Linked DNA regions of Schizosaccharomyces pombe. The protein of the gene in region 1 interacts with the protein of each later gene in a pairwise test. Each region holds a gene or a part of one and is shown on either strand. Other genes may lie near its edges.

The links. Proteins that work in one complex are often made in the same cells at the same time.
Region 2: the proteins of SPOM_SPCC191.01 (region 1) and SPOM_SPAC1039.06 interact in a two-hybrid assay, tested with the Schizosaccharomyces pombe proteins (one large-scale study listed by BioGRID).

What each region holds. Positions count from the first base shown.
Region 1 is NC_003421.2:1,702,210-1,710,420, forward strand, and holds SPOM_SPCC191.01 (uncharacterized protein), read left to right. Parts: upstream 1-3,602; 5' UTR 3,603-4,251; coding exon 4,252-4,788; 3' UTR 4,789-5,525; downstream 5,526-8,211. Other genes in the region: SPOM_SPCC417.15 (uncharacterized protein), read right to left, coding at 502-633; SPOM_SPCC417.16 (NADH:ubiquinone reductase complex subunit), read right to left, coding at 958-1,116; acs1 (acetyl-CoA ligase), read right to left, coding at 6,025-8,013.
Region 2 is NC_003424.3:5,456,623-5,462,854, forward strand, and holds SPOM_SPAC1039.06 (D-serine ammonia-lyase activity), read left to right. Parts: upstream 1-3,709; 5' UTR 3,710-3,944; coding exon 3,945-5,192; 3' UTR 5,193-5,732; downstream 5,733-6,232. Other genes in the region: DNA-binding transcription factor, zf-fungal binuclear cluster type Klf1, read right to left, coding at 123-166, 218-850, 906-1,204, 1,250-1,371, 1,425-2,551, 2,653-2,773; SPOM_SPAC1039.07C (alanine-glyoxylate transaminase), read right to left, coding at 5,821-6,232. UniProt on the Schizosaccharomyces pombe protein: Catalyzes the conversion of D-serine to pyruvate and ammonia. May play a role in D-serine detoxification.

The sequences.
Region 1 (8,211 bases):
GAGACAACATGGGAATCCGGGGTGCTGTAGGCTTCCTTTTATTCTTTTTGCTTTTTGTTTTGAACTATTTTTTTTTTTTTTTCAAACTAGTTATTTAACTAATGTATCCATATACAACTAACACTGCTCTACCATTGTAATTGTTCTGGCTATGGCATTGCCAATTTCGCATTGTATTCAACTATATAACTAGACATTGCAAGACTTGAATCGCTATACAAAGTCTATACTTATTAAACAAGTATCACTCGCTACACTTACTCATACATTTTATTTACACAACTTTTTAATATTTGGAAAAATAAAACATTAATCAATATTAAAACTAACAGTACAAAGGAATATTAAGGATTATAATAATGGACAGTGCAAATTGGAAAAAAAGAAGCAAAGAATGCAAAATTTAATAAAGGCACATAATAAAATTAGCAAAGTGTTACACAAAATCCAATTCTTCTTTTTTTTTTTTTTTAAGAACAAACAAGTATGAAGAATGGAAATTCAAATGCAAAACAGAGCAATCAAACAGACAAGGGGGTTGATGAAATGGTTTTCACAGCAATGATGAGAGAAATGAATGTGAATTATAAACAAACGAAAAAAAATTCCAATCGCAATAATTTTTCTTTTCATTGCAAAATGGTTTTAATTCTGTCATCAAGAGAAGCTGTAAAGCAATTTATTTCAATGCATAAAATTTCAAAAACACAGAGAAGTGTGCGTTTTTAAGAATTCAAACAAAGCTTTTTAACAGTAAAAAATATTTGTTCTTTTCTTTTCATTTTAAACGAAACGAACAAAGTATGTTTCCATCCAAAAGGCGCTAGCATATTTAAAGACGAATTAGGATTGATCAAAGTTGATAAGAGGTCGATCCAAATCGATCAGAGTCGATCATAATAATCGGACACATGGCTATGTTTCGATCGCGCCAAATCAATAAAAACCCAGGTGGTTTTAGATGGTACGACGAACGGTAGGATCGATATGAACATTGGGGTCTGCGAGCAATTTCTTGCCCATGCTATATGTAGCAAAGCCAACAGCAGTAGCTACAGCAGCACCTAAAGGATAGAGTTCGACGGGGACTTTACGAAGAGCAGCACGGAAAGGCATGATGAATGTAAAAAAGTAAGAATGTAAAGAAATGAGAGTTTTTTTAGAAAATCAAGAGAATTTGTAAAAAATCGTAGACTATAAGGTATTCGGTAGAGTACGTTATAGAGACTAACTATATGAAAAGTTTGACTTGACTTAAACCAAGTGAAGTGAATGTAAAGATGGGATGTTGAATTGATGAACCAAAGACCATCAATCCAAGGCCTTTATATAGAAAAAAAAAATTCTTAGCGACTCTTCCATCGAAGCGAGCAAGCGGGCCACCAAAAATGGCAGAAACCCAATAAACCAACGAAAGGCGGCGAAACGACCAACGTAAACATTCCATTGGAAGACAGGGGTTTACCCCACAAAATCGACGTCAAAGAGAAGTAGATTGATTAGCTTATTTTAACGTAATGCACAACTAGACACGGAACTTTTCCGCCAATAACGGAGTGGCGCGTTCCTCCTTCTTACCGAAAAATGTCGCAGTAGCCAATCCACTACATCAGCGGCAACCAATCCGATGCGACAGCAGAACCAGCCAACTTGTTAGTCCGAGAATGACGTGGGCAAAAAGTGGAGAGTCGGGGGATGGAAAGGGGAGGACCTCATTTTTATGATATCGTATTAAGGAGGTGAATGAGAGGAGAGACTAATGGATGCAAAGTAGAGGGGGGAGGGAGTTTGAGAGGAGAGAAGAGGTAGAATAGGGACATCAAATGTAGTACGTTATAGTATAAATTATATCAAGTGCGTTGGAATGCGCCAAGTATGATGAGAGGAAGGATTTTCATTAGAGAGAGAGAGAGAGAGCGAGAGAAACTAGTTAGTTTCTCTAATAGTTAATAGTAAATAAAAAGAAAAAGCCGTTTGTAGAGAAGATCATCCAAGAATTATCGTTTACCTTTTTTGAAATCATTAATCTTTTAAATTTATTTATTTTTTTCTTAATATCGTTATTAATACACTCATACTGGAATTCTACTTTTGCCAAGATATCATTTTTTCATCATCCACCTTTTCCCTTGAATGGCGTAAAAAAAAAGTTGCAGAATGGCATTCCGACATGCTCGTAGTTTGCGTTGCATTTCATTTCCAAAACGTTGCTTTCCATCCTATAAGTCATAATGACTGCATGACTGGTGGAAAAAGGGAAAAGAATGAGAAAGGGAAGCAGAAGTACCATAGAAGGAATAGAATGCAGAGAACCGAAAACGGAATATAAAGAGTATTTGGGGGGATTTAAATTTTTTTTGAAAAGACTTACATTTTGAGGGAATCACATGAATCCCAACATATGGCTTTTTCATATTTATCCATACTACCAAAAATTACCCATTTTTTATCTATATATGGAAAAGAATATTAAAATAGATTTTTAGGATGCTTTCTTTACATTTCCTTATATTATGATTGCTACAGCTTTATGGATTGTTATGATATTTTTTACGATGTTCTATATTTCCTTATATAACGATTGCTAGAGCGTTAATGTTTGTTATAACTGTTATCGAAATACTTAAAAAGACGCACAATATTTTTTTGCGATTTAGAGTTCTTTCATTAGCTGCCTCGTAACACGCTCCATAAAACACATTTTAACAAACCTCTCGCTAAACAATTATACTGTTACACAACGTTGTGTGTATAAATCTTTTGATACTGTATTTTTCGTATTTTGAAGTTCCTTATACATTTTTTTAAATATTTTTGCATAGTGTCTTTTGTCTCGTTATCCTATTGTTGTTTTTAATATTCTCTGTCATAGTAGCAATTTTCCATTTTCTCTCTTTCCAACAAGTCATCAAGATGTCAGCTTGTAAGTTTGACATGAATACATGAAAAGTTTGAAAGTAGTAGGTGACGACTTTTCATTCCATTTACACTCTTAGTGAAGATTTCGCAATGCTCTATAAAATCCCATTTACCAATCTTCTCCCTATTTCCTGTGCCACGAGTCAATCGCTCGTTTCCTCCCTTATCATATTCGTTGGTATAACTCATCGCTTGTACTTGTACCAAAATCCCTACGGAGCCTTATTTGGTTGATCATTTCACATTCGTCTGTAAAAACAATAGAAGCTAGACGCTTCCCACAAAGGAGAGATTTCTCGACAACTACTATGCAACATGAAACTTTTTGTTGGAAGCTATGGCGACTAAGTAAAAACAACTTGTTGAAAAAGTGTCGTCTTCAGTACGCAGGGTGTAAATGAATTAGCTAGTCAACAATATCTCCACCTTTACTGTTCTTTACAGGAGGAAAAAAAAATACCGTCCTTCATCTTTCGAATGTCTAAACATGTTTCATTAAAAAATCTCGGTCTGTAATATCAATAACCTTGAAAAACCAAGCTCTTTGACTCTCATTCTCATTCCCTGTTTAACGACTCGCTATGACACGCTATTCTTAGAATGGCTTCCCCACACTTCTCTCCACGTCACTTACGTATTCTTTAGACGATCAAGGCTGTAGCGCTGCCAACTTACCTTCCGTTAGCATATTACCCATTCTCCTACTGATTTGGTACACTAACAAGCACTGCTTTTATTTTCCTTGCTTCAGGTTATAATAAATCTATCTTCTGTGATAATTTCTTGTGTTTCGCTTTGGCTTGCTCAACTTTCGATTTACACCCTTTCCTTACAGTATTGTGGCTTGCAAAGTATTTTCTTGGCTGACGATTCATTGAGAATTCATTGCAAACTGAGTTTGATTGTTTTAAAAGAAACGGAATTTAGTTTGTTTTCGAAATTTTTTTTTTTTTAGAAGAAACACTCTTCTACTTACGTATTGAGGAAAATTCCGTCGAATCTTTCGGGTGATTCCGCAAATTAAAGTCTTATTATCCGAAATCTTTTTCTTCTAAAGTTTTCTGTTCATTGATACATACACATCTTTGTTGGGGTTCTTAACTTTCCATTGTTTGTGTGTCTTTTGATTTCTTTAACTTGTTCAAGAATTTTTTTTGGCTCGTTTCATAAATATTCTTACTTGGTTGAGATTTCTTAATCTTCCGTTCAATAAAACCATTAAATATTAAAACGTTTTCCTTTTTCTTATAAGCTTCTTTTCTTGTTTCTTGTGAAACTCTCAACTACCGAATTATCTTTACTGCTGTCCCCTGCTTTTTTCATAGTTCAACAATGGTTACTCGTCGTCTTAGTACAAATGTCCATATCGACTTACAGCCCATTCGTCAGGGTATCTTGCTTCCTTTTCACGACAGACCGGCTGAGATGAGGGACCTTGCTAAATGCAATGATCAGTTTTTTCGCAACGTTCGGGACACCATCAGCGAACCAAAGTTTACACAATTGATGGAATTATGGCTTGAAAAGTCTCGTGCGGAGGTTCCAGACGCTGATTTTCTAATGACTACCCGAAATATTATGTTATCCTTTCCCAGCAATGAGGAACAGGGTCATCAGAGGTCGGCGTCACATGGCTCTACTTCATCGGCAACATCTACTCCAAAACGTCTGAGTATCTCTTCTATGGACCCTGCCAGGATCCATTTGTGGAGACAGTTTTGTAACGTTGTAGGATACGATATGCCTACTCCTGGAGAACAAAAAGAAGCCCCTCCTTCGCCGGCTCAAGAGGCAATTCCAGAGTCGCCTGTTGAAGAGGCTATTGCAAGTGATAGCGATGAAGAAGAAGAAGAAGAAATTAAGGCTTAGAAAATTATAGCAGACTTTTTTCGTTTTTTTTTAAATCCATCAAATGCTTTCCCGCCTCTTCTTTACTAGGTATTTTTTTTATTGTTTTCTCACCCTGTTTAATTTTTTTTGGGAAGCCATCCTCTCTAGAGTACCTTCATAATTGATATTTTCAGGCTCTCACCGAGTTGGCTCAAACTCGAAATGGAAATCTTTAAAATCAATTGAGGGAATTGTTTCCTATGTTCTTCAATTGACAGGAAAATCTTTTATGTTTTGTCCTTATGGTGAAACTACACTTTCTTTTGTCCCGACAACCCAATAACGATTCGGCTTATTACTTATGGAAGAGAATTCTACTAGAGCTGAAACCCTTTTTTTTAGTTGTGAAACTAAATTTTATGATTCATGATACTTACTCCTTAGCCATCTGAAATGTTCTATGGCTATTTTTGTAACGATTTTAATTATTGTGATGCTGAACGTTTATGATGACTTGCGCGGGTTATGACTTAAATAGGCCTAGTTTTACGGCAAGTGATCTTTGTCTTGGTATATGTTATATGATTTTCTTGTTCGTGCCCTTATTTTCGAAAACAACCCGTATGTGAGTAGCCGCCAATTATGCAAGTATTATTGTTGGATTTGATAATGAGATTCCTTTTGTTTGGTTAGTTCAAGTGAATAACAGATTTCTCATATTCATATTTTCCATTGTAGTAGTAATGTTATTACCAATATCAGAATGAAGCTTCTCTTACAGACATTGTGTAATTATCACTCATACGTACTATCGATATTGATGTACCTAATTGTGCAGTTATCTTTATATTGCTTTCTTTACTCGGCTCTTCAGTATGCTACAATAAGATAGTTTACTTTTACTGTTTCATGAAAAAGACGCTCACACTAGCCGTATGAACTTTTTGTAGTACGCAAAAGGTGTTTTATTTGTTAAACCCCCTTCAACATTTTAAATTCATAGCTACCTTTTATAAGTGCCATTAATAGAGATTTTTCTAAAAAAAAAAAACTTGACACAGGCACTCCAAAAATAAAGTGAACATCTAAACCTGTGCGATAACGTTAGTCATGACGGTCATAATATGCTTTCATTAGCGCGAACGATAAATCTTCCAACTTTTACAAGATACATTAAATAAGTGAGGTCTTCGGAACGTTGGTAAATAAAGTATCACACGCCTCATTATTATATAGAAGTAAGCATATACACCGCACATCTAATTATCGAGTAGTCTAGGGCTTCTTCTGATGGGCATAATGAACAGCATGGATGATGTGCTCAACAACCTTAGGGTCAGCCAAGGTACTCAAGTCTCCAATCTGGTCGACTTCACCAGCCAAAATCTTACGGAGAATGCGGCGCATAATTTTACCACTTCTAGTTTTTGGAAGATCACTGAAAATTAACTTGCGTGGAGATGCAAAGGGGCCAATTGTCGATCGAACCGCCATGATCAACTCCTTTTCAAGTTCGACTGTAGCTTCATAGCCAGGTTTCAATAAAATAAAGGCATTGACGGCTTGACCGGTTAGCTCATCATGAACACCAACAACAGCGGATTCTGCGACAGCGTCATGAGACAACAAAGCAGCCTCGATTTCAGCTGTACTCAGACGATGGCCGGAAATGTTGACAACATCATCAACACGTCCACGAATCCAAATGTAACCATCTTTATCGCGGGTAGCACCATCACCGGTGAAGTAGAACCCAGGATATGGCTTCAAGTAGGTGTCGATGTAACGATCGTGACCGCGCCAAACAGTTCTAGCAGCGCTGGGCCAGGGACTGCGGATAGCAAGAACACCTTCAACATCGTTGCCTTCAATGATCTTGCCAGTCAAGGGATCAATGATGACTGCATCGATACCGAAAAAGGGTAACGTAGCAGAACCAGGCTTCATGGGTGTCACAGGTCCCAAAGAAGTAACAATGTGAGAACCTGTTTCAGTCTGCCAATAAGTATCGGCAACAGCACATCTTTTCTCACCAACTACTTCGTAGTACCACATAAATGACTCTGGAGCGATGGGTTCACCAACACTACCCAAGACACGAAGAGAAGAGCGATCGTGCTTGACAAATTCATTACCGGCACGTTGAAGAAGACGAATGGCAGTTGGTGCAATATACCATTGAGTCAGTCTGTGACGCTCAACGACACTCCAGTAACGAGAGTAATCAGGGTAAGCTGGTGTGCTTTCAAAAACAAGAGTAGCAGCACCAAGCATTAAGGGGCCGTATACAATATAGGTATGACCAGTAATCCAACCGACATCACCAGCACAACCCATACGATCCGTGGGATGCAAATCGAAAACGTATTTGCAAGTAGCAGCAGCGCCAAGAAGGTAACCACCAGTGCAATGTACGACACCCTTGGGTTTTCCTGTACTTCCAGAAGTGTAGAGAAGGAACAAGGGATGCTCTGGATTAACGACTGCAGGAGGGCAATACCGGGGGAACTTTGGAATAATATCGTGCCACCAGACATCACGACCTTCAACCATACTGGCGGTAGGCTCAGCAGAGCGTTGGAAGACGAGTACCTTCTTGATGGTAGGACATTCGGTAAGGGCTTTGTTAACGACACCCTTTAAAGGGATTCGTTTACCACCACGATGACTTTCATCAGCGGTAATGATAACTTTACACTCAGAATCATTGACACGGTCTGCAACAGACTCTGCAGAAAAACCAGCAAAAATAACAGAATGAATGGCACCCAAACGAACAATGGCCAACATGGCAATGATTGTTTCAGGAATCATAGGCATATAGATGGCAACACGATCTCCCATACCAACGCCCATGGACTGGAGAGCACCGGCACATTGAGAAACGGAAGCCAAAAGCTCGCGATAGGTGATATAGCGACCCTGATTGGGCTCATCAGCTTCATAAATCAAGGCAACGGCGTCTGGGCGAGCAATGGCATGACGATCGACTAAATTATAACAAGGGGAAATGGCACCATCAGCGAACCAAGCACTATCTGCCTTGTCGATGGAACCTTGGACGACAGTGCTGAATTGTTTGTCCCAAGTCATCATGTCGCGAGCCATGTTACCCCAAAAAGTGGATGGGTCATTAATTGACTCTTCATACATACGTTTATACTCATCCAAACTAGCAATGTTAGGTTTAGGGACGGTGGGATCGCCATGAAGACGAACCGGAGGTTCTATAATGAGTGTGTGATCGACAGGATTTTTCGTCATCATAAAAAAAAGTAAATATCAAAATTGAGGAAATATAAGAACTTGTAAAAACAATAAAACTGTATGGTAAACCTTACAATCCGTAAATAAGCTTTCAAAGGTATCACTAAAAACGATGAAGAACCTTTAGAAGAGAATGAAAGGTAAATATAAGGGGAAAGAAAAGAGCGCTAGAAAAAGAAAATAACGAGAAAAATA
Region 2 (6,232 bases), on another chromosome or scaffold:
TTTCTAATGATATTCTGAACATATTAATCACAAATATTCAAAATGCGTAAATTAAAACTATGGATTAGAAATAATGTAAAAAATGCTATAATACAAGAAATCGTTCGTTATACATCCTCAAGCTAAAGCTGTACTAATTTAGACAAAATGCGAACACCATCTACCACTAAAACTGTTAGTATTTGATGAACAATACAACTACGAAAGATCGACTTACACAAACCCCATCTAGCTGGGCACAGCACATCAATGACGCATTTTAATAATGGCAGAGTTTTACTTCGAACGTAGACATGATCTTTAGCTTTCTCACTGAGACCTGTTCTCATTTGCATAAGGTAGGCATTAAGTTGAGACTTGCAGTCGTTATTTCCCGGTTCAAGCATCTCGCACCTTCCATCCGAGACATACCCATAAGCCCAAAGGATTAAGGTCGAAACATATAAGCACCAGGGTCTATGAAGACCTGTTTCATTCTGAACATCATATTCCATATCACCTCCTAAAAAAGCTTCAACCATATCCACGGCGTGCTTAATAGATACTTCAGAATCATCAGAAGCTAACCAAGCAGAAACATAGCGCGATGTACTCGCATAGAGTCTTCTAGAAGTGGAGACTATTGATTTTGCATAGGTTTGTAAAGCAACTATGTTAGTATGCAGCGAAATATGAGCCAATTCATATGTAGCCAAACAGCCTCGCACGTAAGGATGATTGAGTGGTAAAGTACCATTATTTAGAAAGAATACACGGTAGGTACGAAGCCAAAACTTGTAAGATGCTTTAAGTAAAATCCTCCAGTTTTTCAAGTTGGTTCCATTGTTTTGCATGATATTTTCTACAATACCTTTAAAACCAGTTAGTTATTGAAATCGTTAAATTAGAAATTGCAATGCTCGTACCCAAATTCTCTCTACTTAATATCCAACCAATGGTAGTTAATCCGTGCAACACAATCATCATATTCCAAGGACTTAATTTAGGAGGAAGATGCTCGTTTGTTAAGAACATTTTCAAGACGGGAAAGAAATGGGGTGGATCGTTTTCATTTAAGAGAGATGTCCATGCTTCATAGCTATCGGCGTTCCAGAGAGCTTCATCACATAATAGAGGTAAGCCAACGCTAGTGATATCAATTAACGGTCTATATCCAAATAAAATAACATGCTGAGAGTCTAATACAAATGAAAAAAATGCGATTCTAATAGTGTTAATAACCATCACTTAAAGTCACCAGATAAATTACCTTTTCGAGGCTTCTCGATCAACCCACTGATGCCATTTGTGTTGTGCAATATTCGTTCCTGTCATGTTTTTTGGAATTTTCTCGGTGACGGTATCTTTTGAAGACAGCCCATTTTGCATAGACTAGAATTAGTTAGAGAAAGTATTATTTAATATAAAACGCTAATGTAACGAACCTCAATGGTCACACCATGAAAAATTTGAGAGAGGTTGTGTTGTTCCACAGTACTGGTCATTTTTTCAAAAATTTCAGCTATTAAGAGAGCCTGATAAACCCAAAGAGAGGCAGGAGGCTTGAAATCTGGATGCGTATAGATGGAAAATCTTAAAGTTGAATGAATGGAAACAGCAATGCTATATGCGAATGCATCACCAACGAAATGCATACCCATTGTAATCATTGCCAATAAAAGTTCTACAGGTGCTTCGTCAACTTTGAGTGTTCCTCGATGCAGGAAAGGCCACCGGGGGTGAAAATCCTTCCAATAATGAGCAATCCATAAGTTCACCCTACTGCGAGTTATATATTGCAACGCCTCTTCAGAAAGTTGATAATTATTATTCATTACTTGTATTAAAGATGAATATGCGGAAAGTGATAGTAGGTCTTTAGCAACTAGTTTGTCGTCAACTCTAAAATGCGAACTAAGAAAATCAATGGTCGGTGAATCTAAAACTGGCATTAAATTCAATTGCTTTGCATTGATACCATCGGTGAAATTTGAAACTGATTCTGTTGGGGCATCTTTCTCCATGTTATCAAAAAGCCAGCACACGAAGTTATCTGTATTTTGCTGGTAAGCATTAAACGGTGATGTTCCAAAAATAGATATGGAATCTTGAGGAGACAATGACTTATTAGCATTGTTTTTTATTGAAGGGGTTGATAAAAACTTGTTTTGCAAGTTAATTTGCTGGTCGCTTTCAGGAATGGTAATCGAGCCTGAAATGGAGTTATTTCGACGACTAGTGGTAAACATGTAATTGTTTCCCGTCTGTGCAATGGCAGATTGTAGACCTTCATTGAAATTATCGGAAATTATGGGCTGGTCAGGTAATATGGGTTGATCGATATGGCTTTTGAGGTCTGTATAAGCAGCATCCTGAACGTCGGCTTCGACATATGAGGGAAAAGGTAATTCTTGATCGGAAGATGAAATAAGTGTCTTATCATGTTTAGGATGCGTTTGGCTGCCAGCATCGTTCTGCTTTACATGCTTTTGGTTAACATGTCGATTTAGCACATCGCTCCTTGTAAACGAACTGGAGCAGTGAGGGCAAATAAAGGCTTTCGAGTTGGTATCTATAATTAGAAATTAGCGGTTTTATTGAAACAAAAGTCAATTGTAGCAAGTTTCAGAAGGTATGTTTGCTACTACCTATCCAATCCCACATTGCACATACGAGATCGAAAATGCCTTCGTGCATGCTCTTTCCTAGTGAAAGATTTAGTACAGCCTTGAAAATCGCATTTGTAACGAATATCTCCTTCTTGGTATGCACGACTTTTTTTCGCCTTGGTCATGAAGAAACGCAAGTAACCTCACTTTACAGAAAAATAGTGATTAAACAGATTCAACGCAATGATAGCTAACACCTATATTCAAAATTCGTGACAATACATTCAGAAAGAGAAATAAGAAAGAAGAAAAATCTACTTAATTTCCCTAGTCGCTCAAGGTCGTAGTTGTAAAAGACATTTAAATTAGAGGCGTACGACTCCGGATCCGCGGCGGGCAATTCTTCTTATCGAAATAAACCTTCTGGCTATTATACAGGGACTTGTTACCTTATATCTATACTAAGAACCCAAGTAATGTCAGAGCCCTCGTCTTAAGCACAAAATTTTCATCTAATTTTCAAATAAATACTATGTATTTGAGTGACTAATTGTATTGGTCATCTGGCTTGCAGTTGATATTTGAATAATAGTTAAGCTAGCACTACGCAAGATCTATAAACGCAACATTAAATTTCCAATTGCTAAGTTTTATATGTAGATTTATATTTTCTATCAACCCGCCTGTTAAACACTGGTATTTATTTCTATCTTCCCTGTAAATCACAACACTTTTCTGTGTGATCTTGTTAATTCAATGCCCTTTAAGATAAGCATGAGCTAATTTAATCGATTCTGATGCAGATCGGTGAATTGTTGTAATATTGAATACATCAATTCCTGTTCATCGCTATGTTTTAACCCCCGCTTTATCTCGTGATTTAGTGATACGTTATAGCTCGATAATAGCTTGCGTAGAGGGGGTTCTGGCTCAAACTACAGCTAAGCTATCTATCTAATCTCGCAACTCTTAGTCGCTAATCGGCAATGTATATTGAGGTGGATAACGGGGGTACCGGACTTATAGCATTTTGGTACGGGTTTGTATCAATGTCTAAATCAACTGTGTGAAGGATTTATTCGGACTATATAAGTAGTTAGCGTTGCACAGCTGTTTCTTTCGTACATTTAAATTCACTTTCACTTGCGTAACTTAGCTGTACATAGGTTTACAGTGGTAAAGGACAATTGACGCTTTTAATCCTTATACTGTTTTTTTACGATTAACATCTTTTGACGGTATAATCTAATTTTTGTTTTTTGTTTTTTTTTATTTAAAAACAAATTCGATTTTGACGCAAAGTGTGGTATTCCGTAACATCTGTTTAATAGCCTTTTGACCCGTTGATATATTAAAATGGCTTCCAACGTTGATAAATTTAGCTCTCGCTTCTATCTGAATGTCAATAAGGAGGAATTGAAGAAGGAGTATGTTGGCAAAACTATCCAACAAGTTCCTACCCCAGGCTTTGTGATCGACGAAGCCATATTCGAAAAGAACTGCAATCGCATGCTGGACCGTGCAAGTGATATAGGTGTTACTTTCAGGGCTCATGTGAAAACTCACAAAACGATTGAAGGAACTTTGCTTCAATTAGGCGATGGAAGAACTAAAGCAGTGGTGGTTTCTACATTGATGGAGGGGTTTTCATTAATACCTCTCATTTTAGAAGGAAAGATTGATGATCTTCTTTACGGTCTTCCTGTAGCTAAATCTAGGCTCCCTGAATTGTATGAGCTTTCTAAAATTGTCCCACATTTACGTCTGATGATTGATAATCCCAAACAACTAGACATATTACGTGAATTCACTTCCACATTACCTGATGATGCAAAACCATGGTCGATTTTTGTCAAGATCGATATGGGTACTCACCGGGCCGGTGTTACTAACGACTCACAAGTTGTTAAGGATTTGATATCAACGATCTTGTCTGACAAATCGTTGTTTGATCTTTTTGGATTCTACTGTCACGCTGGTCATTCATATGCTTCTAGGTCTATTGACGCTGCTTCTGAGTTCTTGTGTGCTGAAATTGACGCTGCTAATACTGCTGCTAAGTTCGCTACCTCCATTGATCCTTCCTTAAAACTTACTTTGTCTGTTGGTGCGACGCCCACCGCTCATTCCGTCAGTCCAAAGGTAAAAGAGTTATTACCTACTTTGAGTGGAAAACTTGAAGTTCATGCTGGAAACTATCCCATGAACGATGTTCAGCAAATGATAACCAAATGCATCAGCCAGGCGGACGTTGCCGATTACGTGTTTGCAGAAGTCATTAGCAATTATCCAGGTAGAAACGGTGAACCTGGTGAAGTTCTTGTCAATGCTGGTGTAATTGCCATGTCTCGCGAAACCTCTCCAGAAGGTGATTTTGGAATTGTAATTACTCCTGGATTTGAGAGTTTTTACGTCGACAGATTAAGTCAAGAACATGGTATTTTAAAATCCAAAGATCCAAAAGCCACTCTTCCTGACGCCTCTCAAGTTCTTTGCATCATCCCTAATCATTCATGTATCACTGCTGCTGCATTCCCTTGGTATTACATAACCAAAGGCTCAGATGTTATCACTGATATTTGGGTCCCTTGGAAAGGTTGGTAGATGACAAGCTGACTAAATTAGCTTTAATAATAGATTCCTGATCGTGGTTAGATTTCTGCTTAATACGCCTAGAATACTTTTCAAAAAATAATGAATTCAATATATCGCGGAAGTTGTGTTTCTCGAATAATGTATATTTTTTGTTGCTGTTTATTCAGTACTTGCTCTCAGTTGTTCAGCTATTTACCGAAAAGGTATTTCTGATATTTCCGATCTTTCAATTTTACAACGTAATTACTTGTATGTTTTTTTAAAACACCAGGAAAACGAAAGATGTTTGCAGATTAAAAATTACTACTGGTATTCAATATCAAAATAAGGCTAAAGATGTAAAGGTCGCATGCAATAAACTATATACTCGGACTGTGTCAGTACAATTTTACTAACACTTCATAAATGCTTCATAGCAGAGAGGGGCTTTTTGCAAAGCGATGAAATGAATAGGAATGTTGAAAAATGGCCAATGAAGGAACGTATTAAATACTATATAATAATGTTGGCGAAAGTTAAATTATAATAGATAACATAAAAAGTTGTTGAATAGTGTCGATATATGATTGCAAAGGTAGATCAACGTGGTAACATAATGCTTTTAATAGTTCGTATAGGCTGCTTGCCGAGTTTATGTCTAATACGAACCGCTAAATTCTTTAGCAGTAAAAGTCAAGGCGGAATCAAAGATCTCTATTGCTTTGTGAATTTCCTCATCGGTTACTGTCAACGGCGGAGCGATGCGGAAAACTCCACCAATTCCCCTCAAATGAACGATGTTACAGTTCATACCTAATTCCAAACATTTATCTCCAATTACAGTTCCCAAAAAATCACTAGGTTTGCTAGGATCTGTACAAGAAGCAATTTCAATACCTTGCAACAGACCCAGACCGCGTACATCAACAATCAAAGGATGCTTATCCTTTAGACGAAGGAGATCGGATCTAAGTAGTTCTCCTGATATTTTTGCTTTTTCAACTAAGTTATCTCGTTTTACCACCTTCAAAACTGTAGAGCCTATCGCAGCTGGAAGGGGATCGGAAGCA